Linked DNA regions of Alligator mississippiensis. The protein of the gene in region 1 interacts with the protein of each later gene in a biochemical or structural test. Links are inferred from orthologs where the notes say so. Each region holds a gene or a part of one and is shown on either strand. Other genes may lie near its edges.

Evidence for each region. The genes of interacting proteins can lie anywhere in the genome.
Region 2: the proteins of NR2F1 (region 1) and AHR form a complex in vitro, tested with the Homo sapiens proteins (2 studies listed by BioGRID). The link is inferred for Alligator mississippiensis from reciprocal best matches to the Homo sapiens genes NR2F1 and AHR.
Region 3: the proteins of NR2F1 (region 1) and BCL11B form a complex in vitro, tested with the Homo sapiens proteins (2 studies listed by BioGRID). The link is inferred for Alligator mississippiensis from reciprocal best matches to the Homo sapiens genes NR2F1 and BCL11B.

The regions. Positions count from the first base shown.
Region 1 is NC_081826.1:240,947,521-240,954,533, forward strand, and holds the start of NR2F1 (COUP transcription factor 1), read right to left. Parts: upstream 3,020-7,013; 5' UTR 1,153-3,019; coding exon 708-1,152; intron 355-707; exon of another isoform or gene 271-354; intron 230-270; exon of another isoform or gene 1-229. UniProt on the Homo sapiens protein: Coup (chicken ovalbumin upstream promoter) transcription factor binds to the ovalbumin promoter and, in conjunction with another protein (S300-II) stimulates initiation of transcription. Binds to both direct repeats and palindromes of the 5'-AGGTCA-3' motif.
Region 2 is NC_081828.1:163,341,848-163,349,215, forward strand, and holds the start of AHR (aryl hydrocarbon receptor), read right to left. Parts: upstream 3,013-7,368; 5' UTR 2,806-3,012; coding exon 2,750-2,805; intron 1-2,749. UniProt on the Homo sapiens protein: Ligand-activated transcription factor that enables cells to adapt to changing conditions by sensing compounds from the environment, diet, microbiome and cellular metabolism, and which plays important roles in development, immunity and cancer.
Region 3 is NC_081825.1:281,772,772-281,780,601, forward strand, and holds the start of BCL11B (B-cell lymphoma/leukemia 11B), read right to left. Parts: upstream 3,013-7,830; 5' UTR 2,051-3,012; coding exon 1,993-2,050; intron 1,400-1,992; exon of another isoform or gene 74-1,399; intron 1-73. UniProt on the Homo sapiens protein: Key regulator of both differentiation and survival of T-lymphocytes during thymocyte development in mammals.

The DNA.
Region 1 (7,013 bases):
ATGTTAGAAATTGTCATTTGTATGCAGTATTTAAGGAGAGGGTGGAGTTTGATGGAGAAATAAAACGAGCAGCATGCTGGAGGATGACAGAGCTAGGAAAGCACGGTTCAGTCACAAACTTTCCTTTGAAAGCATGGAGTGAAAACAAGGCCAGATCTTGCAAGGAGCAGACTCCAACACAGTGGAAAGCACAAGGAAGCAGAGACACAGTAGCACATCCCCCCTCCCCTGTGTGGGGCTCCCCCCCCCCCGCCTTTCTTTCCTACTTACACGTCTTTCATCTTTCTTTCAGGAAAGATGATGCTGGAAATGGATCTACTGCGAAGTGTGGTGGTGGGGGGTTTAAAATTGTAACTAACAGGGGGAGAGGGTGGGGAAATGAATGGAAACACAGCTCGCAGAGAGGGATGCCCCCCCCCCTCCCCAGCCTCATGCCAACAATAGACCAAATCCCATCCGGAGAGCAGCGATCCCGGAGAAATAATACATATTTAGTGAGTGATCGTAATAATAAATTCTCATCACAATGAGGAGGGAAGGGAAGCATGTGGCGGTGGAGGGGGTTGGGGGGGAGAGGAGGAGGAGGAGGAGGAGGAGGGCAGCAGCACAAACCCAAAGCCTGGGTGCAAAGCTTGGAGCTGGGCTGCAGGTCTAGAGACACGAGAGATCTAGAGAGAGCGAGAGTAGAATAGGGAAGAAATATTCACCTTCCCGCCTCATGCCCACTTTGAGACACTTCTTGAGGCGGCAGTACTGGCACTGGTTGCGGTGGTGCTGGTCGATGGGACAGTTCCTGTTGGCCCGACATGTGTAAGTTAAGTTCCTGCGGACGCTCCTCTTGAAGAAACTTTTGCAGCCCTCGCAGGTGAATTGCCCGTAGTGTTTGCCGCTGGATTTGTCCCCGCAAACCACGCACTCGATGTGCTGCTGGCTCTGGCCCGAGCCCTGCTGGCCCTGGCCCTTGTCCCCGGCCGTGCCCGGGGTGGACGGGGGGCCGGGCTGGCTGGGGGTCTGGGGGGTGTGCGGGGCCGCGGAGGCCGCTTGCTGCTGCTGCTGCTCCCGGGCCGGCTGAGCTGCAGGGTTGGGGCCGCTCGGGTTGCCCCCGGCCACGTCTTCCTGCGGATCTCGCCAGCTGCTAACTACCATTGCCATATCTCGGGCCCAAAAAGTGCTGGGGAGCGGAGCTTCTCGCCGAGGGCTGCCTGGGAGAGGAGGGGGGAGGGGGGAGGTGGGTGGCTCGGGTTTGGGGGAGAGACGAGAGAGAAGCAATCGTGGCTGCGGCTGCCTCTGCTCCAGCGCCTGCTGCTGCTGCTCCTGCTGCTCCTGCTGCCCTTGTGCTGCTGCTGCTGCTGTTTCTTGGGGCTGGAGCCGGCGCTGCCGTTTTCTTGATTTTTGCAGCCCCCCTCCTCTGGCTCTCCCTCTCTCTCCCTCTCTCTCTGCCTGGGTTTTGCGGGGGGAGGGGGGAAAAGCAGGGCTTCTGGGGGTCCCCCCCTCTTTTCCCTGGCAATAGCTAGAAAGCGAGACCGAGATTTGCTCCTTTCCCCCCCCCCTCCACTTTCAAGTTGCAAAATCAGACACGGCAAACCAGGCGGCTAGGAGAGGCATTCAGGAGAGTCACACTGGGGAGGTAATCGCCGGACACACACACACAGAGCACGCACCAGCCACACACAGTCCGAGCGCTAGGAGTGCAAAGGATGTGCAGACATAGAGGAAGCAGGAGGAGGAGGAGGAGGAGAAGGAGGAGGAGGAGGTCGGGCTGCCGCCGCCGCCGCCGCTCGCTGCTCGCTGCCGGGGCCCGGCCGGTCCTGGTGCCGCTGGAGCTCCCCCCCGCTGCCGCCGCCGCTGCCGGCGCTTTTGGGGGCGCGGGGCTGGGAGAGAGGAGAAAGCTCCTGGCGATCAAGGGATGAGAGTGTCCGGGGGCCAGGTCCAGGGCACAACGCAGTCAGCCATTCAGGAAACCAGTCTTGGGAAGCGCGAGCGAGGAGGGCTCGGAGATTAGACAGTTTGATTTTGTGTTGTTGTTGCTGCTCTTGTGGCCGGTCGTTTCTCTCCCTCTCTGGGTCTTTTCGGAAAAGACGAAGAATGACACAAAAAGCACTGGAGGTGACTAATTCGCAGAGGAGCCGGATTCACGGCGAAGAGTCGAGCAAAAAAAAAAAAAAAAAGAAGCAGCTGAATAATAATGACACCCGCAGAAAAAAGAGAGATCCAAAGTAGGTCGAATAAATAAATCCTCTTCTTTTTCCTCTTTCTCGTCCCTTCCTTCTGCTCCGCTCACAACACCCGGTGCCGGTTCCCAAAGCCACTGGAGATCGCCCCCCCCCCAAAAGGTTCTTGTTTGATTAAATAAGAATAAGAATCATTAAAAAAAAAAAGTATTTCAGAGACAAAAACTCATCAGGCAGAAGCAAAACCCACCCCCGAAATAAAAAAAAATAGACAATAATGGTAAAAAAGAAAAGAAAAGAATAATAATACTGGCATGAAGAGGTGAACGCGTTCTCTCTCTCTCTCTCTGGGATTTTTTTCCCCCCCTGTCTCTCTCTCTTTTTTTTTTTTTTTTAGTTTCACCTCTCTTCTGCAGGAATGAAGCGAAAGACACTGGGAGGAAGGGTGGAAAAAAGAAGAAAAGGAAGGAGAAGAGGGAGAAGAGGGAGAGGAAGAAAAAAACAACTAATAGAATATGCAAGAAAGGAGGGAGAGAGAGAGAGAGAGAGAGAGAGAGAGAGAGAGGAAGAGAGAGAGGGGGAGAGAGAGAGAGAGAGAGAGACCCAAAAAATGAATGCGTTTAAACGGGAAGCCTAGCAGAGCAATGTTTCCGAAAGGGGGATCTGCGCGAATGTCTGTATATAGTGAACTTTGACACTACTATTGAAACTGACACGTTTCTATGGAGATCGCTGCCTTATATGGAGCTCATGTCAAGGAGCCAAGAGAGGGGCTGCTGGCAACTGATAATCAAAGGCGACTGACTGGTCAGAGCCCTGAATTGGGGGGAGAGAAAATGGGAGGCTAAGGTTAGCCAAGCCTCCTTCACTCCATTGGTTAAGAGCCCCCCCCCCTTTTTTTTTTTTATTCTCTGCTACCTACTGCCTGGGATGGGGAGGGGAGGGGAGGGAGGGAGGGAGGGAGGGGGATTCTTCTGACAAGCACAATTTACATTGAGATCGCCCGGCGCTGCTATTTACTTTGAGACCTGATTAGTATGGGTCGCCTATGGTCACACACACGCACACCCCTCCGAAGGGGGTGCATTGCGATAGAGGGAAAGGGGAACAGAATTATTTTGGCTCAGTCTGAAAAGTTTGTGTGTGTGTGTGTGTGTGTGTGTGTGGAGGGGGTGTGTGTGGGGGGGGGTCACGATTTATTTATTTATTTATTTATTTATTACTTTTTCAGATGGGATGCCCGCGCCCGGCTCGCAGCGGGAGCCCCCGGCCCCGGGGCTCGCGGGTTGGCAAGGGGGGCAGGCAGGCGCCCGGGGCGGACAGACGTTACTTAGAGCGGGGTAGATCCTAGTCCAACTTTGCGGCTCGCTCCCATTCAGCGCCTTGGAGCCTCTCCCTCCTTTTCTAGTTGCCATGAGGATCCACCGCCCCCACCGGGATTCACTGGGTCCTGGAAGGGGATCAACCGCGCCCCCCCAAAGTCCCCCTCCTAGTACCACGCTCCCCCCGCTCCCAGCCTCCCCCATCCCCCCACTTGGCAGACTGAGGTTTTGTGGATGAGCCCCCCCCGCCTGCAGCGGCCCCTTGTCCTCCCCCCCCCCCCGCTCTTGGCACAGCCGGCGGCGCTCCAGCAATTATTCATAAAACAAAAGTAAGTTCCCGTTTTGTTGTCTGGGAAGATCAAGGCTGGCGGAGGAGAGTCCCAGCCGGAGCCGGAGCCGGAGCCGGAGCCGAAGCCGCATCCTTCCCGTGCGGGCTGGAGCGCGCGGGCTAGCCAAGCCGGGCCGGGCCGGGCCGGGCCGGGGGGGGGCAGGGAGCCAGGCTCCATGCCTCCCTCCTACCCGCCGCACTGCTGAATCGTGGATCCGGCTGCCATCTAGCGGACAGGAGCCCAGACGCGAGCTCCCCCTTCCTCCTCCAAGCACAAAGCCGGAGCTTTCTCCAGAGCAGCAGGAAGCCACCAAATCTTTTTTTACAGCTCTGCCCCCACTCCCTTATTTTTTTTAATAAAGCCACTGCACTGGGGAGGGGGGCGCAGACCCTGCTTTTTAATAATAACTCTACCAGCGTCTCTTCCTCCCCCCCTGCAGCCTCCTTGCCTGCACCCTCCCAGGGTGTGAGAGCTTTCCCATTCGCCTCGGGTCGAATGGCTGTGCCTGACAAAGAGGAAACCAACTGCAAGAAGTGCTCTTAGCTCCTCGAAAAGTTTCAAATCCGGGTGGCAGCCAAGCCACATCTGCGGGGGGAGGAGGGGGGATATTAACAGAAGTTGGATTATTCCCCCCCTCCCTCCGCGAAAGCTGCTTCTTTCACTTAAAAAAAGGAGAGAAAAGAAACCCCAACTTTGCTGTGCACTGCTACTGATTTGATTTCCCTGTCTAGTTCCCAAATATGACAGGAGGGGAAAGGGGGGGGGGGGTCCCGGCTCATTTCTAAGATCAGAATAAACGGGTTATTTTGTCCTGAAATAATGAAGAGATTTTCAATGAGTCCCCCTGGCCAAGCCGCCCCTATTGTATATTGCATTGATAAAAAGGATGTTATTGACTATGCAACAGTGGGCTCTTTTCCTCTCTCTCCCTCTTTCCAAATAAACTCTCGCTCCTGTCTCCTGGTCAGTGAGAAGGTGAAACGAATAAGATTAAATCAGACAAAAAAAGCAAGCCCTGTATGTATATCATCTAGATTTTACTCCCCAGACTGTGAAGAGACAGGGAGTAAAAGAGGCAGAGCAAGACACAGAGAGTGAGGGAGAGAGAGAGAGAGGCAGAGAGACAGAGAGAGCCTGGGAGAAGGTGGACGGACCCAGCAGCTTGCGCCCTGCTCCTCCTTGGAAAGGTTTCCTCGGAGCCTGGATCGCTGCAGTTGGCACCCAGAAACCCGGCCAAGCCAGGCTACCCCAGGCAAGTACTGCTTTCTCTATTCCGTGTTTCTAAGGGGGTTAACTTGTGTCTACATTGAGTTGGAAGCCCACTGTGATGCAGTTCCAGGCGAGCTGCACTTTGCAAGGATAACTTTTTTTCCTCCCCCCTCCTAACATCTAGCCTGCTTTTCCGAGCCTCTTTCAGCACTGCCTCCCGTTAGCCCTCTAGTTCAGGCATATTACAGCTGACGGCACGGTTAGAGAGGGAGATATTTATTGCCTCCAGTTTGTAAGTATTTTCTTAGAAGGCATTTTCACCGCAGATCCAGATCCGTGCGTGAGTATTTGTGTACTCGCGCACGCACCCGCACCTCGTTCAGACAACAGATGTGTGTTTACCTATGTGTGTCTGCGCCAATATCATAGACACAACTCAGGCACATGGATTTCTTCCACGTAATTACGGAATTGAACTTATACTTCTAATAATGATGCCTGGGAAGACGGGGAAGCATGCTAATGCTCTTGTCTTTCACCTGCTCTGTTATTTGATCACCTAATGAAAAGATCGATGGCAGCCTGTTTATCTGGGTGATAGTGTCAACAGATTAAAGGGACAGCAATCAGAGTCCTCTGCACTGAATACACTACAATCAGAAGAAAGCCCCAAACACCTCCAATTGGTCTATTTCAAAGGTAGATTTTTTTCCCCCACTGTGGTGGCGATGTTAGGGATGATATTCATTTGCTGAATGGCATGGGGGGGGGGGATGTGGGAAGCATCAGTTAAATAGGTATTTAAATAGCAGTTCCTTTAAGGAAGGCTGAAACCTGCGTGAGTGCTGTCTTTATCTCTGAAAGAAATCGCATCTTCTCCGAGCCGTGGGGAAGTGGAAGTCTGGGGGAAGAGGAAAGGGCTGAGTCAAGGGCACCCTAGCCATGCAAGTCAAGCAGCCGTCCAGGTCCAAACAAGGTTCAGTTGGCAAAAGGTATTTCCCTGTCCCGACAAATTACGAGAATCCTTAAAAATGATTTCAAGCTCAGGTTCCATTCGGGGAGCTTTTATTGTTATTTAACCTGCCCTGTGCCATGGATCTGACACGGCCAGAACAGCCCAGGAGAGCAGCAACGCAATTCAGGGGCTCTCTCCAGCTTCATTTCCTTTGGAGCAGCCTGTGTCCCTTAACCGAGCACAGGTTGGGATCGCGGAAGCTTTGCTGGGTTTTATTTGATTTCATTTCTGGGAAAGGCAAGCAGGAACTCCGACTCGCTCTCTCCCCTTCGCTTGTCCCTTCCGGAAAGAAATGTTCATCCTAGAGATCAGTGGGCATTTTGGCACAACTTTTAAAAAGCTATTTCAGGGGCATCGGTAGAGAACACAATTGACCGGGTTTGTGGGTTTTTTTTTAATAGCCTGGGTGCAGGAGAATGTAACAAAAAATAAGCTAGGGCTGAGTTCTGGAGACATCTTTATTCCGGAGATGTCTTAGGCATCTACTTCACCTGCTAAGCCTTGCAAAGAAATAAATGTACGCTCCCCTACATACATATCTGCCTCCTGGGGGGACAATTAAATACATATAACGCTATCGTGTTGCCCGACGTGAAAAGAGATTTCCTTTTACCTAGGGGTTGCATTTTCAAGCCCTGACCAAGCCCTGGTCTGACAAGGAAATGCACTGCGAAGGTAGAGCTAGAAAATTTCCTGGCATTTTGAAAACCCCTGTAGGAAGCGCAGAGCCCCCCCAGGGTGCCCCAGGGCCGGATTCCCGGAGCTACTCGGCCCACGAATCAATTAGTACCTCTCGAAAACTATTGACAGGCCATGTCTGCCATTGTCTGATATACGATCAGCCAGTTCATAGTCACGGTGACATTTCTTTTCCAGCATTTCCCGTACTTGGCCGCTTTGCAAATTTAATTATACTGTAAACATTTCTATTTCTCCCTCCTCTCCCAGGGCCAGGTTGCCCTTTGCT
Region 2 (7,368 bases), on another chromosome or scaffold:
CTCAAGAGGTCTGAATTCGGAATTAAGTTGATGCTAGGCTAATTGCATCCCACTGGTGGGACACCTTGGTTTTAGGAAGGCATAGACAGCACACAAATCTTTTTACAAACATGTAAAAGCTTTACTACCCAACAATAGACTGTAACCAAAAACCAACTCTCTTAAATCAGCTCTGACAACTGTTTGCTTCTCTGACTGACTCAACTTTTTTGCCCGAAGATATGTACTATGATTAGTTTTTAATTGAAGAAATCAAACCCTTTGGGGCCTGTAGAGCAGCTTTAGGAAACATCTAAGAGGACAAATGCAAAAAAAAAAAATAAAAAAATAATCAAGGACCATTCAGCGTAAGTAAGAGGAGGATAATAAATGATACACTGAACAAAAAATAATTATGTTGCACAAGTTGTCTGTCAATCAAACAGGGCACTACGTAATATAATAACATTTTTTTCCTCCTCCATAAGGTAGGTAAAACACCAACTATATAGGATACATTCAAACCAAAAACATTTACTTTAAGAAGAAATGTTTATTTTCCCTTTAGCCCTAAAATGTTGTTGATTGGTTTCCATTCATGAAAAAAGGAAATATTCTTCAGGTTCAACAAATAAGAGAAGTTCAGCCAATTGAAATAAGAAATATAAAATAGTAACAGTGAGTTGTTATACAACAATCAATAGCTCAAAATAAAAATAGTTTGCACATCTGGTAATCAAAGTGAATTTATTAGTAAGCAAATCATGAAGTTCTCTGACCAGAAAAAGCAAATATTGCCACAATTTTGAATAAGTTTTAGCCAAAGAAATTATAGACTTGGAAAGTTGTTATTAGCTGGACAGGTGGTAGAGTGTATACACTTGCATGCAGAGCAACAGAGTTACTATTTTCTTTATAAAATGTAAATTTATACTGCTGAATTGCTTTAACACCTCAACCTCTCTATTTTAGCTCAACAGTAGATAGGCCTATTTACAGTATCACAGAATCGTAAAACATTAGGGTTGCAAGGGACCTCAGGAGGTCACTTAGTCCAGTGGTTCTCAACCTTTTTTGTAAGGGACCCATTTGTAAACATTGATGGCAAGTCCGAATCCAGTGCCCCTCACTCCCGACCCACTGCGCGCCCGCAGGCCCTCAGTTTGGGACAAGGGGGTCCCAAGCAACCCCATGCAGGATGGAACTCTGCCAGCCTGCAGGGGAAAAGCCACGGTTTCCTAGTTTTCTCCTTTAAAGGAGAATTCATTTTTAAAGTTTGTTGATCCATTGTAAAGTTTATTTGCAACCATTTCGTATATTCTTGCAACCCATTTTTGGGTCACAACTCACATGTGGAGAAAAGTTTATCTAGTCCGACTCCAGCTCAAAGCATGACCACCCCCAATTTATTTCTATAATTGCCACACTTTCTGCCTGGCTGCTGCTGTTTGCCCAAGTCAAGAATTTTTCAGAGCTTTTAATTCTTTATTTAAAGTCTATAACACAGCACCTTCATTTAAAGAGAAATCTCCTTTTGAAAAGCAAACAACAACCCCCTCCCCCCCCAAACCGTAATAGCAACAGCCATCCTAGCCCAAAGCAGCAATCCAAAATAAGAGCTGTAAGCTGTGCTGAATAAAAGAATACTGCTTACTCAGCTAGTCTCCCAAATACTCCTTTTCCTCCTTTGCTTACGTTTTGGAAGGGATTTCAGTGTAGCAGATGTACTCCAGCAATGCTATCTGCACAAATGCACGCGATTAACAAGAATAAGAACCTTGCTTTGGCTTTGAATCATGGGGGGGGGGGGGGGGGGTCCTCTTTTTCTTCCTTACAGTCTTGTATTCTACTTCTTTACGAAAGCCAGTCATCTAGATGCCTGACACCTAAATGTCAAAACCTATCTTCTTCCTCTAGACCGGCATTTCTCAACCTGTGGGTTGTGACCCAAAAGTGGGCTGCAAAAGTATATGAAAGGGCTGCAAACAAACGTCAAAAATGCGTTCTCCTTTATAGGAGAAAAACATGGGAAACTGTGGGGCTGCTCTTGCAGGCTGGCAGACTTCCAGCTTGTGAGCGGCTGCTTGGGCCCACCCTGCCCCAGTGGCTGGGGCACGGGTGCAGCGGGTCGGGACTGCCAATCGGCGTTTACAAACGGGTCCTGGTGCAAAAGAAGGTGGGGAACCCTTAGCATAGACGGTCACAGAAATGCGAGTAACCCTGATGCCAGGCCAGTCAAGCCTAAGGCCCATTCCCAGCGGAGCAAGGATCGCCACGCGGCGGGGGCTCTGGCACAGTCGGGATCAGGCCCAGGAGCTGCCAAGCGACACGTGTCTCGTGGTCAGACGTGGCAGCGCCTGGCGAAGCGCAGCTGCCCCGCCGCACGCACCGGGGTGGGGGGGCACATGGAAGCGGGTCACTCTGGAAACCCGCCGGGGTGCAGGGGAGCCCATCCGCCCTCGGGCCCGAGCCCCGGGCACTGCCGCCTCCCCGGCGTGGCCCGGGCTCGCGCCGAGTGCGGCGGGGCGGGGCGGGGCGGAGCGGAGCGATCCCGGCCCGAGGCGGCCGCCCGCCCGTCACCTTAGATGCCTCCTGAGACTAGGTCACCGCCGGCCGCCGCCTCGCCCGGGTCAGCAGCGCGGGCTCGCTCGCCCGCCCGCCCGCCGGGGGCCGCCGCTGGGCGGCCGGAGCGACGAGCGCCCCCCGCCCGGGGGCTGCTCGGACTCACCTGCTCCGAGACGAGACCCGCCCCCACCCCGCCCGGGCTTACATCTTCTGCACGGGCTTCCGCCGCTTCCGACTGGCGTAGGTGACATTGGGGTTCATGTTGCTGCTGCTGCCGCCGCCCGGCCCGGCCGCCGCCTCGCACAGCGCCCGACCCGCTCTGAGCCGCGGCGGCCCCAGGAGGGCGCGCAGGTGACCCGCGGCTGCTCCCCCGGGCGCAGGTGCGGGGGCGGCCGGGGCTTCCCGGCGCCTCCTGCCCGCGCGGAGGGAGGGAGCGATCTCCCCGCCGCCGCCTGGCACTGCCCCGCCGCACTCCCCTCCGCCGGCAGCCCCCGCTGCAACCGCCGCCTCGTCTCGTCTCGCCCCGCCCCGCCCCGCCGGCGGCTGCCCCGCCCCCGCTGAGGAGGCCCCCGCGGGGCGGCGGCGGCGCCATGTTGGGGAGGACGCTGCGGGCCGCGGGCAAGGTGTGAGAGCCGGGGGTAGGACGAGCCGGCCCCCGCCCTGGGGCCGCCCCGGCCGGGGGCACGTGCTGGCGCTCACACCCAACCCTCGCTTCTCCTCGCCCCGGGGCTCCCCCGCCCTGCCTCCGCTCCCGGGCCGCTCAGGTGCCTCTCGTTTCGGCCCCGACCGGCCTCCCCGCGGCCCAGAGGGCTGCTGTGGGTGAAGGCGAAGGAAGCCGGAGGCAGTGTCCTTGGTCCTGGCACACGGCTCGGAGCAGACCACAGGAGCAGGCGAAGGAAAGGTGTTTCACCAGCCAGCAGCACGGCTTTGCATATTCACTCTAGGTCTCTTCAAAACAATACCGGGATGAGTAGTTAGGTGGAGTACGGCATTACCATAGAAGCAGTCGCTGAGAAATAACAGTACAGAGATTAGGCAAATCAGACAGCCCGGATGGAGCAGAGTGAAGGGGATGGCACAACTGAGAGAAACTAGCACAGTTGTTCTCCAGCAACGTGATGGCTTCCTCAGAGCTGGTGCTCTGAACACCCCAGTACAACCTTTGATGAGTATGCTGGGTCCTGGACTGAAAACGTAAAAGAAGGTACCAAGGAACTTGTAATCAAAGCAGGCCACACCTTGTCTAATTATAAGCCTTATTTGGCTGGCTCAACTGTTTCTCTCTCAAGCTTTCCCCGTGCTGTGTACCGCAAAGCTACTACACACTAACAGTGAAAATGGCAGTAAACTCCAAAGTAGATGGAGTACATTTGTTATGTTTCAAAAATAAATGAAGTAGTAAATAAAGCTTTCCAGAATGTATTGAAAAGCATCTAGTACTATGCCACTCTTAATTTTGACATTTTCCTGGACAAGAAAACCTATAGGTTCTCTGAATTTGAACCAAGTCTGTGATTGATGCTGCCTATAGTCTTCCACTCTTGACTCATAACCTCTCCTTTTCATCCTGTTGCCTCCACATGAGATCTTGTCAAGGTTTTTTAAGAAGATGACTATGGAGATGTACTGTGATCTCTTTACTTCTCTTCTTCAACCTCTAGCGTCCTTTGCTCTTTCACCCATGACTAAAACTACTGCTGTCCTCTGAACGCTCCATCTACCACATAAACTTAATTACCTTCAACCTCAACTTGTTTCATGCTCTTCACCACTCCCACCAGCCCTACATCACACTATGCTCTGGTTTCCTTTCTAAAAACAAGCATCCCAAGAGGGGAACTAGGGCTAAGACAAGTTTTCAGTCATCCACTTCTACACTGGCTTAGGAAATCCAGTGCAAAGAGTGTTCTCCAAGAGGCTGCCAAAAAGGGTACAAGAGCCTTATTGAAACATAGAGCTAGAATCAGGAGACCTAAACTCAGTGAAAGGAATGAGCAGAAATGACCTCCTGCTTCATCTCTTTCAAAGACTAAAAGTACAACAGGTGTATGACAGCGTAGATTTCTGTTGGTGAAGGAACAAACAAATATGTACCTTATTCTTGCTCTATGGCCATATCCATTATAATAGTACTATTTGTAGTTATCAGATATAACATAATTTTTTGAGTCCTTTCTTTGAGCGATACACCCAAATTGCACCTGACTTCCAGACCCCTCACATGTCAGTCGTACTCTGTTGTTGAGATGGACAGGGTTCAAGTACTAATAATATATGGACAGTAAACACCTTTAACTCTTTCACAGTGCATGTCTGTTCTCTTTCATAAAGGTGGCCCAGTGCTTCTTCAAAATTAGTTCATGTTGAGGACTTTCTGGGCATTTATAGACATGGTCCAGGAGTGTGCATGGGGTGGGGTGGAAGGTTTTAATTAGAGCAGCTCTGAGTTGGTCTGATTAAAATGCCTGGAGCATCATGTGTATCAGCGTCCCTGCACTTAAAAAGTGGCAGCAGGGGCTCTTTAACTAAAGCTCATTGAGCAAACTTTAGTTAAGGTGCCCCTGCTGCTATTTTTCAGTGTGGGGACACTGATGCATGTGACACTGGGGTCTGCTGGAGTGCAGTAATTACAGGATTAATTACTGTGTGTTGAACCAGCCCCACTGCACATCTAAGTGCCCTCTATTTCAAACAACCAAAACATGGGTCAATTGGCAGTGACAGTCTTCAATATGAGGATGACAGCCTTCCAGTAAATAGCAAAGTCATCAATGAGTCTGTGACTGAGGAGGCCAATCCAAGATCTGCATGTTTGACTGCAGACATGGCAAATAGTTCCAGGCAAAGCAGTAGATACTAGAGATGTCAGGTCACAGCTTCTTTTCTCTCTCTTGTCTATCTGCCGCCATAGTGATGTTAATTTGCTCAAAATGATTAATGCCTTGTTGCACATCATGGTGCTATTGGAGATGATTCAGTGCTTGAATCTCCCACATATAGATGTTAATATACTTCCTTAGATTGGCTTTCAAGGTGTCATTGAAGCTTTTCTTTTGCCCACCTCTGGACTGGTGACCATTGGTGCGTTGGGAGTATAGGAACTGTTTTGGGAGCTGGTTGTCAGGCATCCTGATAACATGTCCTGTCCAAAGGACCTATAAACATGGCTTCAATGCTGGTGGTATTTCTTGAGCCAGAATGCTGGTGTTTGTTCTTCTGTCCTTCCAGTTAATAGTGGGTATTTTCCCAAGGCAGAGATTCCCAACCATTGGGCTGCGAAGGGTTGGTTGCTGGGTTGTAGCACAAGCCCCTTGCTCAGACCCCAATCTTTCTGCCCGAGTGAGCAGCTTCCAAGGTGAACAGAGTTAAAGCTGGGGGCTGGGGCAGCCCCGGGAAGGAGGCAGCCGGCTCCATGTGCCCTGTCCTGCTCCTGTGCCAGTCTACAGGAAAAAAAGGTTGGGAACCACTGTCCTAAGGCATTGCTGATGCCAATATTCCAAAGCTTTCAGGTGGTTCTGATATGTCATCCAAGGTTCACACCCATACAACATGGTAAGGATGACAACACCTTGGTAGATGAGAAGTTTAGTTTGGGTCCTGAATACATGGTTCTGGAGACATCCAAAAGGTAGCACTGGCAGATTTTATCTGGTGCTGAATACTGTCATCTATATTTACTTTTTTGGAAAAGGTGGTGTAGTTTACCATGGCATTTACTTGAGCATTTTGACTTTTCGGGGCAATTGAGTGCTGCTGTCCCCTTGTGGGTCAGCAGCTTGCTTTCCAATGGGAGTCCTTAAGGTCCCCATGGGTTCTCGCCTGCCACAACTTGATTGTAAAGATTATTGCTGGGAGGAAGTTCTGAAGTCCTGCCTCTCCTGGTTCCCTCTTAGGTCTCTCGCACAGGTCTTTGTCTTGGGCCTCCACCTCCCCTACACCCTTCCTTACGCCAACCACAGATGATGTTAGGTCTTGGCCGAGGCTAACTCACTGTCAGCCATGGCTAGGCATTAGCCCCTGTTTAATTTCAGTCCCAGTTCAGATGGCTTACTGTCCTTGTCAAGGTGTCACGTCAGCCTGACTTGTCGCTGCATATACCCCGGGGTGCCTTCCCTGAGGGCTCACTCCCTCCCCAGGCATTCCTTACAGCTTTTAATATCCTTCTTTTCCTCTCTCCGGAGGCTTGCTGCTGTCCCAGTCTCTATCAGCATTGTCTGGGAACTATGGCTTCATGAGAGGTATGTATCCTGGCTCCTCTGAGCCAGCCTTAGCTGGGCACCCCAACTCTTGGGTTTGCCATCACTGGCCCCTACCGGGGCATCCATTCACTTCTTGCTGCTCCTGGCTCTCAGGAGGCCTCACTTCTGGTCCTCCCTGGACATTGGCTGGTATGGATTTTATCCCTCTCTCGGAAGGCCAGTGAATCATTGGCAGCAAGAGTCCATAAAGCATGCCCACGCTGGAATGTGTGTTTAGGTGCTTTTGGTCCTCAGTGGCATTCTGCTGCTGCTGCTTTTCCTGTTGCCCCTGTGCCACCTATGCTTTTCCTCTTGTGGAAATGTTCACACCGCAGCACCTTTGGTCTTCAGCGGCATTTGGCGGCCATTGCTTTTCCCTCTGCTCTGGCGCTGGAGGTGAGTCTCATCTCGTGGCAGCATCCCTGCTGCAGGTAGGTACGCCACATAGGGGAAATGCTCAAGATTCTCCCAAAACTACCCCCTAATTGTAATATGTGGAGGAGCACCTGGGTTGGCTTGGGGTGGGTTAGTAAAGGACCTTGATTTTTGTGAAGTTGACAGTGTGTGACTAGCATTTCATGTGCTT
Region 3 (7,830 bases), on another chromosome or scaffold:
TGTGCTAAAATGCCTGTATTTCCTGCTCCCCTCCTCCCCCCGGACTACTCCCACCCCCTCCTTCAATTGATACCTTTATTTTTTTCTGCCACTGTTCAGTATGCATCCTGATTTCTCCTCCAGCTTCCTCAGGATGGAGAGATAGAGAAACACAAGAAGGGAGGGGGGAAATTGCATGCAGCTTTGCCTTCCATTCCTCCCCTCCAAACCCATTGTGCACGCAGCTCCTTGGACCCCCGAGTTCACTGTTCCTCTGCCTCATTATTTACTTCCAAGTAAGGCGATCAGGAAACGAGATCCAATGCAAGAATGAACCTACCTGGCTCCCCTCTCTCCCAAAAATGTTTCGCCCTTCTCAATACATTCAAATGTGTGCAACAAACACACACCCGCAAGCCCCTTTCCAAACCAAATCTCTTCTTGCAAACGAGACACGAAATTAGTGGGAGACATTGCCTTAGACGGTGCAGATGTTTTTTTAAAAAATCAACCAGAAAAAAGGAAAACGCAATTTCCAAACCGGCTGGGTTTTCTTTTTTTTAAAAAAAAAAATGCAATTAACAAAGAGGTTTTGGGGAAGTATCCACCTTTTTAAAGGGGAGGCAAATCTGGTTACAAAATAGCACTGAATGAAAAAACACCGCCCCCCTCCCCCCCGAAAGGTGCCAAATGCATCTTCATTTGTGTTGCACCAGCTGATGGTTGGGGGTGGGGGGAAAGGGGGTAAAAAGATAAAGTAACCAGAGAAGCAAAAATAAAATAAAAAAGAAAAATAGAAATGGCAGAACCCGGACGCCACCCAAAATATCTAACGGCAGGGGAAAAAAAAGAAACAGATCACCATCACCATCCTCCTCCTCATCATCCTCTTTCCAACAAATTCTTACAAAACCCAGTTTTCTCCGCGGGAACAAAGGAGGAGAGATCGCAACCACCAAATACTCCTGGCAGATGGCTTCTCTTCTCGCCTGTCCAGGGGAGGGAGGCTCGGGATATATTTATTTATTTATTTAAATTCTTTAAAATCGAACATAAATATTCGGATTCGCGGCGGCTCCGAGGCTCAGCCCCGGCTCGCGCCGCGCGCCCCGCTCCTCACAGCCAACTTCGGGACCTCTCCGCCCGGGGCAGGGGCTCTGCTCGGGGCATCCTGCCACTTGGGTTGGATTTGTTTTTTGCCCCCTCTTTACCTCTGAAGCTGAGGGGGCTGGGGGGGGGGAGTGCTTGCCACCTTCGTGGCACCTAAAGGACGGCTGGATGGCTTTGCATTGCACTCAGATGGGTGCCAGGCGAAAGAAGGGAAATAAAGGGCTAAAAATTAGAAGAATCAGGGATGGGGGGGGAAGGTGCCTGCTCTGCACGCGTGCACACACGCATCTACACACACGCGCGCGCGTGCACACACACGCAGTGACCTGTCCCTCGGACCCAGCATCTCCCCCAAGGTTTTTTCCCTGCTCCCCCCCCCCCCCGGTTCCGGTGGGAGCTTTGGCGGAGCGCAGCCTCCCCCCGCCTCCTATCCCATCCCATCCCATCCCGGGCCGGCTCTCCGGGCTCCCCCGCCCCCCGGCGCTGTGCTCCCCACCCACCACTCGCGCGGGGCCGGCGGCGGCGGGCGCAGCGCGGGGCCCCGGGGCCGGCGGCACCTGCGCGCGGAGCGGCCACCTGCAGCCCCGGCCGCGTCCCGCCACCTCGGCCTGCCCCGCACGCCCGGACGGGCAGGGGCAGCCGCTCGCCAACTTTTCCCCGCGCTTGCTTCCCGCCCCGCCGCCGGCTCCCGGCTCGGCTCCGCTGCAAACTTTGCTTCCCCTGCCTCCCTCTCGTCTCCCACTCCTCTCCCTCTCCCCGGCTCCGGCTCCGGCTCCGTCTCCCCCCACCCCGCCGCGGCGCGCGCGCGCCCTCCCCCTCCATTCCCGGCCCCTCTCCCTGCCTGGCTCCCGCTCCGCGCTGCCCGCCCGGCCCCTGCCTCCGCGCCGGCTCCTGCAAACTTACGTGTGATAATCTCTCTTTGTGACAAGTGCTGCGGGTTCCCCTGCTTGCGACGGGACATTGCCCTGGCATTTACACTGGCATCGCCCGGAGAGCTGCACTGGGTTGGGGGGACGCGCGTGGGGGGCGGGGGAGCGGCCGATCCTCCTTCTCCTCCTCCTCTGGATGTGTCTGTCTTCTTCTCCTGCCTTCTCCGGGATGGATTTTTGCTGCTGCTGCTGCTTCTTCTTCAGAAAAAGAAAAAAAAAATGAAGACAAGCGGCCCCCTCTTTGTTGTGGCGGCGGCGGTGCACGGGCTGGGATTCCCCCTCAATTAAAAATCAGCATCACGAGGAAAGAAAGGGGGGAAAAAAAAGAAAAGGAAAGGGAAAAAAAAAAGCTCTTTCTGGTGCCTCGCGCTGTCCCTCACACGCGTTCTGCCTCTTTTTTTTGTTTTGTTTTGGTTTTTGGTTTTTTGTTTGCTCTCTCCTCCACCGCTCGCACTTCCAAATCTCTTCTTGAACTTAGGAGGCTTTGCACCGAGAGTGACACTTTTTTCGCTCTGTCTCTCTCTCGCTCTCTGTCTCCAGAGTGCTGGGCCAATGGGCAAGTGCACTTCTTCCAGCAGAAGGGCAAAAAAAAAGAAGAAAAAGTCTTAAAAAAAAAAAAGAGAAAAAAACACAAAAAAAGTCGAGCTGGGGCTTGCCCACGCGCACCCCAGAAAAATGCCAAAAAAAAAATATTTTTTTTGTCAGAAATGGACCCTTGGCTGGGCTATTTTGTTAAAGGGGCAGCAGGACTGTGTCTCCTCTTTCCCAGTTCAGGTAGCACTGCTTTGCCCTAGTGCTTTTGCATTGCCAGTGCCTCTGCACCACTTGGCACTCACTGCTCCCCTCGCCTGGCACTGGGACTGGAAGGAAGGAAGCCCCTAGTGCAGCTGGGCTGGTGCTGGCTATTACTATTATATATTGCAATGTGAAGATGGCGGAGTCCTGGTTCTCTGGGAGCGCTCTGTCTCTCTATGGCTGGGGCTGCCTCTGTACAATGGGATAAAATTCAAGTTCAAGTGCGGACGTGACGTTTAATCTGCACTAGAGACAAAAAAAAAAAAGACCCAGAGAGTAGGAGCACTGGGGGCGACTAGCGGTGGCTTTTTAACATTGTACCCTGCAAGAGAACAAGCAGCACACACACACACTCACACGCGGAGACACAAACTAAAGCACATGCCTGCGCGGGAGCAGCGCCGGGCTTTGTGCGCCGCTGCTGCCCCGGCCCTCGGGAGCGCCCGCAGACGCGGAGCCAGCGCGGGGACACGAGCCCCTGCCTCGCCCGGCTCTGCAGCCTCTGCTCCCATAGCTGGGGGGCGGGGGGGGGGTCGCCACCCTGGTGGGGGCTGGCTCCGGGCATGTGGATTTGGGTCCCTTCCTCACCCGAGCCCAGGCCCCGATGAGGTGCGGTGCGGGGGGACCCCGGCGGGAGGCCGCTCCTCCCGTGGCCCATCTTTCTCCTGCCCCCCTGCAAGCTCCGAGGCTTCTCCTGCTCCAGGCAGCGCGGCAGCCGCCGGGCATTTCTTCCCGACACTTTCCCAACAAGGCAGGAGCCGTGTGGGCTGAGGGGGGGGGTCGTCTCTCCCTGCGCGGGGCTGCAGGGGCCCCGCTTCGCCCTCTCGCCTTCCCCGAGCCGCGCGGGCGCCCGCCGGGCGAGCGGGGACCAGCCGGGGCCGTGCAGCTCCCTGGGGAACGAGCCCCTGCTTGTACTTGCCACATCCTCCTCTTTCCCGCGCAGGTGAGCGCGCTGCTCGCTTCAGGACTCCTGGAGCCCAACTTTTCCTCCCTGCCCCGTTGCACCGGCTTGCCTTTCCCCTCCTCCCGCGCTTTCAGCACCACGTCTGGACAGGGCGAGGGGCTGGGGGCTGGCAGGCAGCGGGAGCAAACCCGAGGGAGAGGCCGCCTCCGTGCGGGGGAAGGGGTCCCGCCCTCCTGCCATCTCCTCTCAGCCTGGCAGGAATTTGGGGGTGGCGGCAAGCGCCGGGGAGCCGGGGGCATGGAGGGGGGAGGGGGGCGCATCTCGCTGCCCCAAACTGCCCGGAGCAGAATTGGGCTGAACAGCAGCGCTCGCCGCCTCCTCTCGCAAACTGCGGTGCAAACCTGCCACTCGCAGCTGGGGCTGCTCCGGGCCGCAGGTCCTGTCCTGCAGCCCGGCGCGGACCCGCCCGGGGTGGGCACGGAGCCAGCCTGGCCGTGCCCCGCTCTGCCCCTCACAAAGAGCGGGCGAGGGAAAGGCGCGTCCCCCCCGGAGGCCGCTCGCGTCCTCCCCGGGGTCGCGGGGCTCACAAAGGCAGGCAGCGGCGCGCTCCGAGCAGCTGCCCGCAGCTGGGCGGAGAGGCAGCGCCCCGCTCCGCTCCGCGCGGCCATTGCCCGCAGGTTGGCTGGGGAGGGCAGGCGGCGCCAGGCCGGGGGCAGCTGGGGCTGGGGCCGCAGGGAGGGGGGCAGCTGCCTGCGGAGGAGCCCGCGGGGCCTGCCCCGGGGCCGGGGGAGATGGTGCCTCGGCATCTTCCTGCCAAGGGATCCTTCTCAAAGCTGCCCTCTCCCGCAGCTCCAGCCCGGGTTACCTAGAGCTCGAGAAGGCACCAGCCCCACCTGGTGTCAGCATGATGGATGCCACTGGGGTCAGCAGAGCCTTTCCAGGAATGCGGCTGGGAGACTTCCACCGCCAGGCAATGAAATGGCAATACAACCCAAACCAGCACCAACTGGCCCCCGGGCCGCACGCTCGGGGCAGGTGTCCGTAGCCCCCTCCTCCCGCCGTCCTCCTCGGCCCCTTCCCACGAGAGTTTCTTTCTTTATTCCCTCTCGCCCGCTCCCCTCCCCTCGCACTCTGCCGGCCTGGCGAGCAGTTCGCGTGTGCGCCACGTGTGTCTCGGCCCGCGCGGGAAGCCGGGGCTGAAGGTGTCCTTGCCGGCCAGGGGAGCGGGGCTGGGGCAGAGTCCAGCCTGCCGCGCCCGCTTCCAGAGCAGGGCAGGACGTTCAGCAGCAAACCTTATCAGGCAGCTTCCTGGCCATCCTCTGTTGATTCACTCCTGTCTTAACAGTGGGCATCAAATCAAAGATAAGGGCACATCAATGATTGACCACGCCGGCCTCCTTCGTCCCCTCCAGTGGCAGCGCCTGGGGGGACGCGGGCTGAGGTGCGTGCACTCCTCGTGTCAGAGCCCAGGGCTCTAACACAGAGGTCTTTTTTAAAGCCTCGCTTCCTCCTCCTGCTCCTAAAATGTATCCCAATAGGGGGAAAAATATTCCAAAGTGATTTCTCAGTCTCCTCTTTCCTCCCCTGTCTGGCACTTGTGATCATTAGCACTGAAAGCTGTTAATGTCTTGTCTCACAGCTCCCCCTTTAGTCTCTTTGCTTTCCCTGTCTCGCGTTCAAAGACAGATCAATAGCAGGCTCTTTCTAACCTTGACCTATCCCTCGACCCCGCCTCCATCTGCAGCTGGCCCACTGTTTTGTTTTCCCACTCTGTCGATATCCAAGTCCCACTCGGTGACAGCAGACAAACAAGAGGGGCTTGCTGCTCCCAGGGGGCTCGCGGGCCTGGCTCTGCCCACCCCTCCCCCAGGCCGCCAGCCACAATAGCGCGCTGGCCGGAGCATTTCTGTCCCACTGATTATTGCACTGCTTTGTCCAAGTCCCTTTTCTCCCTCTCCCCTTCGCATCATCCGACTGTAAGAAAAGCGGGCCGTGCAAGTTCCACCTTGTGATCAGATGAGAAAGGCGAGCACCACACGCACTCGCCTCCACCCTGCTTTGACACCTACCGAAACACGCCTCCTGCCCCAAAGCCAGGAGAGGATTCTTCATCCTTCGAACAACCCAACTGAAAAGGACCGGGGGAAAAACAACAAAACCAAGAGCCTTTGAAAAGGCGATTAATTGTAAATTAGCAGCAATGCAAAAATGTGGTGCCAACTTGCCGATCATATTTTTTCCAACCTGGATTTTAACGAGTCAAAGTCTCACCCCAGCCTATGCTCCTTGCTATCAGGAACAAGAAGCTAATGCAGCGTTAAATGTGCCATTTCATTCTATATACAACAAGGCGCGCTGAATAAAGAGCAGATATTTTAGCTTCTGGGATTCATTTTTTTTCTTTCTGCTTTTTAATTATATGATGTCTAAGTGCGGAAATTTGGCATGGCTAGTAATAGCAGGAACTTCGAGAGAGACAGAGAGAGAGAGAGAAAAAAAAACTCCCAATACTCTGGCAGGGTTGCAATCCTATACAATAGGACTGATCTGTCACCTGGCCCCATTTGGGCACATTTCCACCTTCCCCCCATTTAGCCACAGAAGTTTTCAGGACAATAAACACTTCCGTCCCAGATCCTGTCTGTTGCGACTTCGGTTGCTGCGCAGTCTTTGCTCCGAAAGCTCGAGCTAAGTGAGAAGCAAATAGGTTTGGAGAAGAGATGTAGGCGCGCGTGTGTGCGTGCGGGTGTGCGCGTGTGCGCGTGTGAACAGCCTTGGCTCAGACCAGCCGGCTCGTTCCATATTCCTGGGGAATCTTTGCACGTTGTTTGTGGAAATCAGAACAAACACAGGGCATTGATCCGATCGCCTTACTTACCCGCTCCACCTTGCGAGGAGATACAGAAACACAGGATCTAACCAGATCATATTTACATACATATTAATAAAGCTCCCGAGGTGGCAGTTGTGCCTTCACATTCAGCGCAAGGATTTCTGTGAGTTCTCATTTCAGACCCATAAAAAAAAGAGAAAAAGAGGTCTTTGGGGCTTCCTGGAATATTTTTTTTTCCTGCGATGATTTCATATAATTTCTCAAAATTACATAGTTAAGTGGCATCAAATTTCAGGGTGATATAATAACTCAAAATGTGTAAAAATTTTTTGCATCAAATCACTTAACTGCAGTAAACAGGGCTGCAAAACCTCAATCAGAGGAACTGTTTGGTGTGTTTCTTCAATTTATGGAGCACAACAAAATTGTTCTCGTTATCTGTTAAAATATATATAAATTGCACCATTTATTCCCCTAATTTCCTTCCTCCTGAACGTGGAAAACACAGGAATATTTCAAAGTGCAAGTCAATTCAAGTCTAAAGAGGATAATGCCTAGCCTCCCAGCCCTATTCCCACACCGCATGGGATGCAAAGATCCCTCTTATCTTTCTCTAGATTTGGTTTCCTTCCAGTTTGCTTAATTTTCTCTGTCTGTTGCTGACGTTTTTCGGGACTGGCTTTGGAAAGTAATATTCCAGCAACCTTCCCCTCTACAACCTCAGCTCATTTGGACTCTCCTGCCTTGTCCAGCTGAGCTCCTCGCTTTGATCATCTTTCCAAACGTGAAAAGCACTCCTTCAGTGACAGTCCAAATACGGGGGCCTGATCCTGCCCTCCCTCATCCCAGTTGCACAAAATCCCAACCAAAAAAATGCAAGCACAAAAGCACACATCAGCTAGGGAAACAGAAGGGAGTGCTGGGAGCGTGAGTGAGGCAGGCTCACTCACTGCCCCTCTGCAGGGGGCTGGAAGAGAAGCGAGCCTATTTAAGTTACACAGCCTTCCTGAAGCCCCGACTTCGGCTCCCCTCGTTAGTCCTTCTCTGTGCTGAAGTCACTGCCAAAACTTCCATTGACGTCAGTGGTAGCAGGATAGGGCCCTATAACTTGGAAGCATCTCTTTCTGTTCCTTTCCTTAGAGTCAGTTTTGTATTTTCCCTCCCCTCCCCTCCCCCTCCCCCTTACCCCCTTCGCAACAACTTCCCAGGGAAAAAAGAAATCTGGGACAAGCTGCAGGGTGTGTGTGCGTGCCTATAGGGAGCACACTTCATCAGCATCC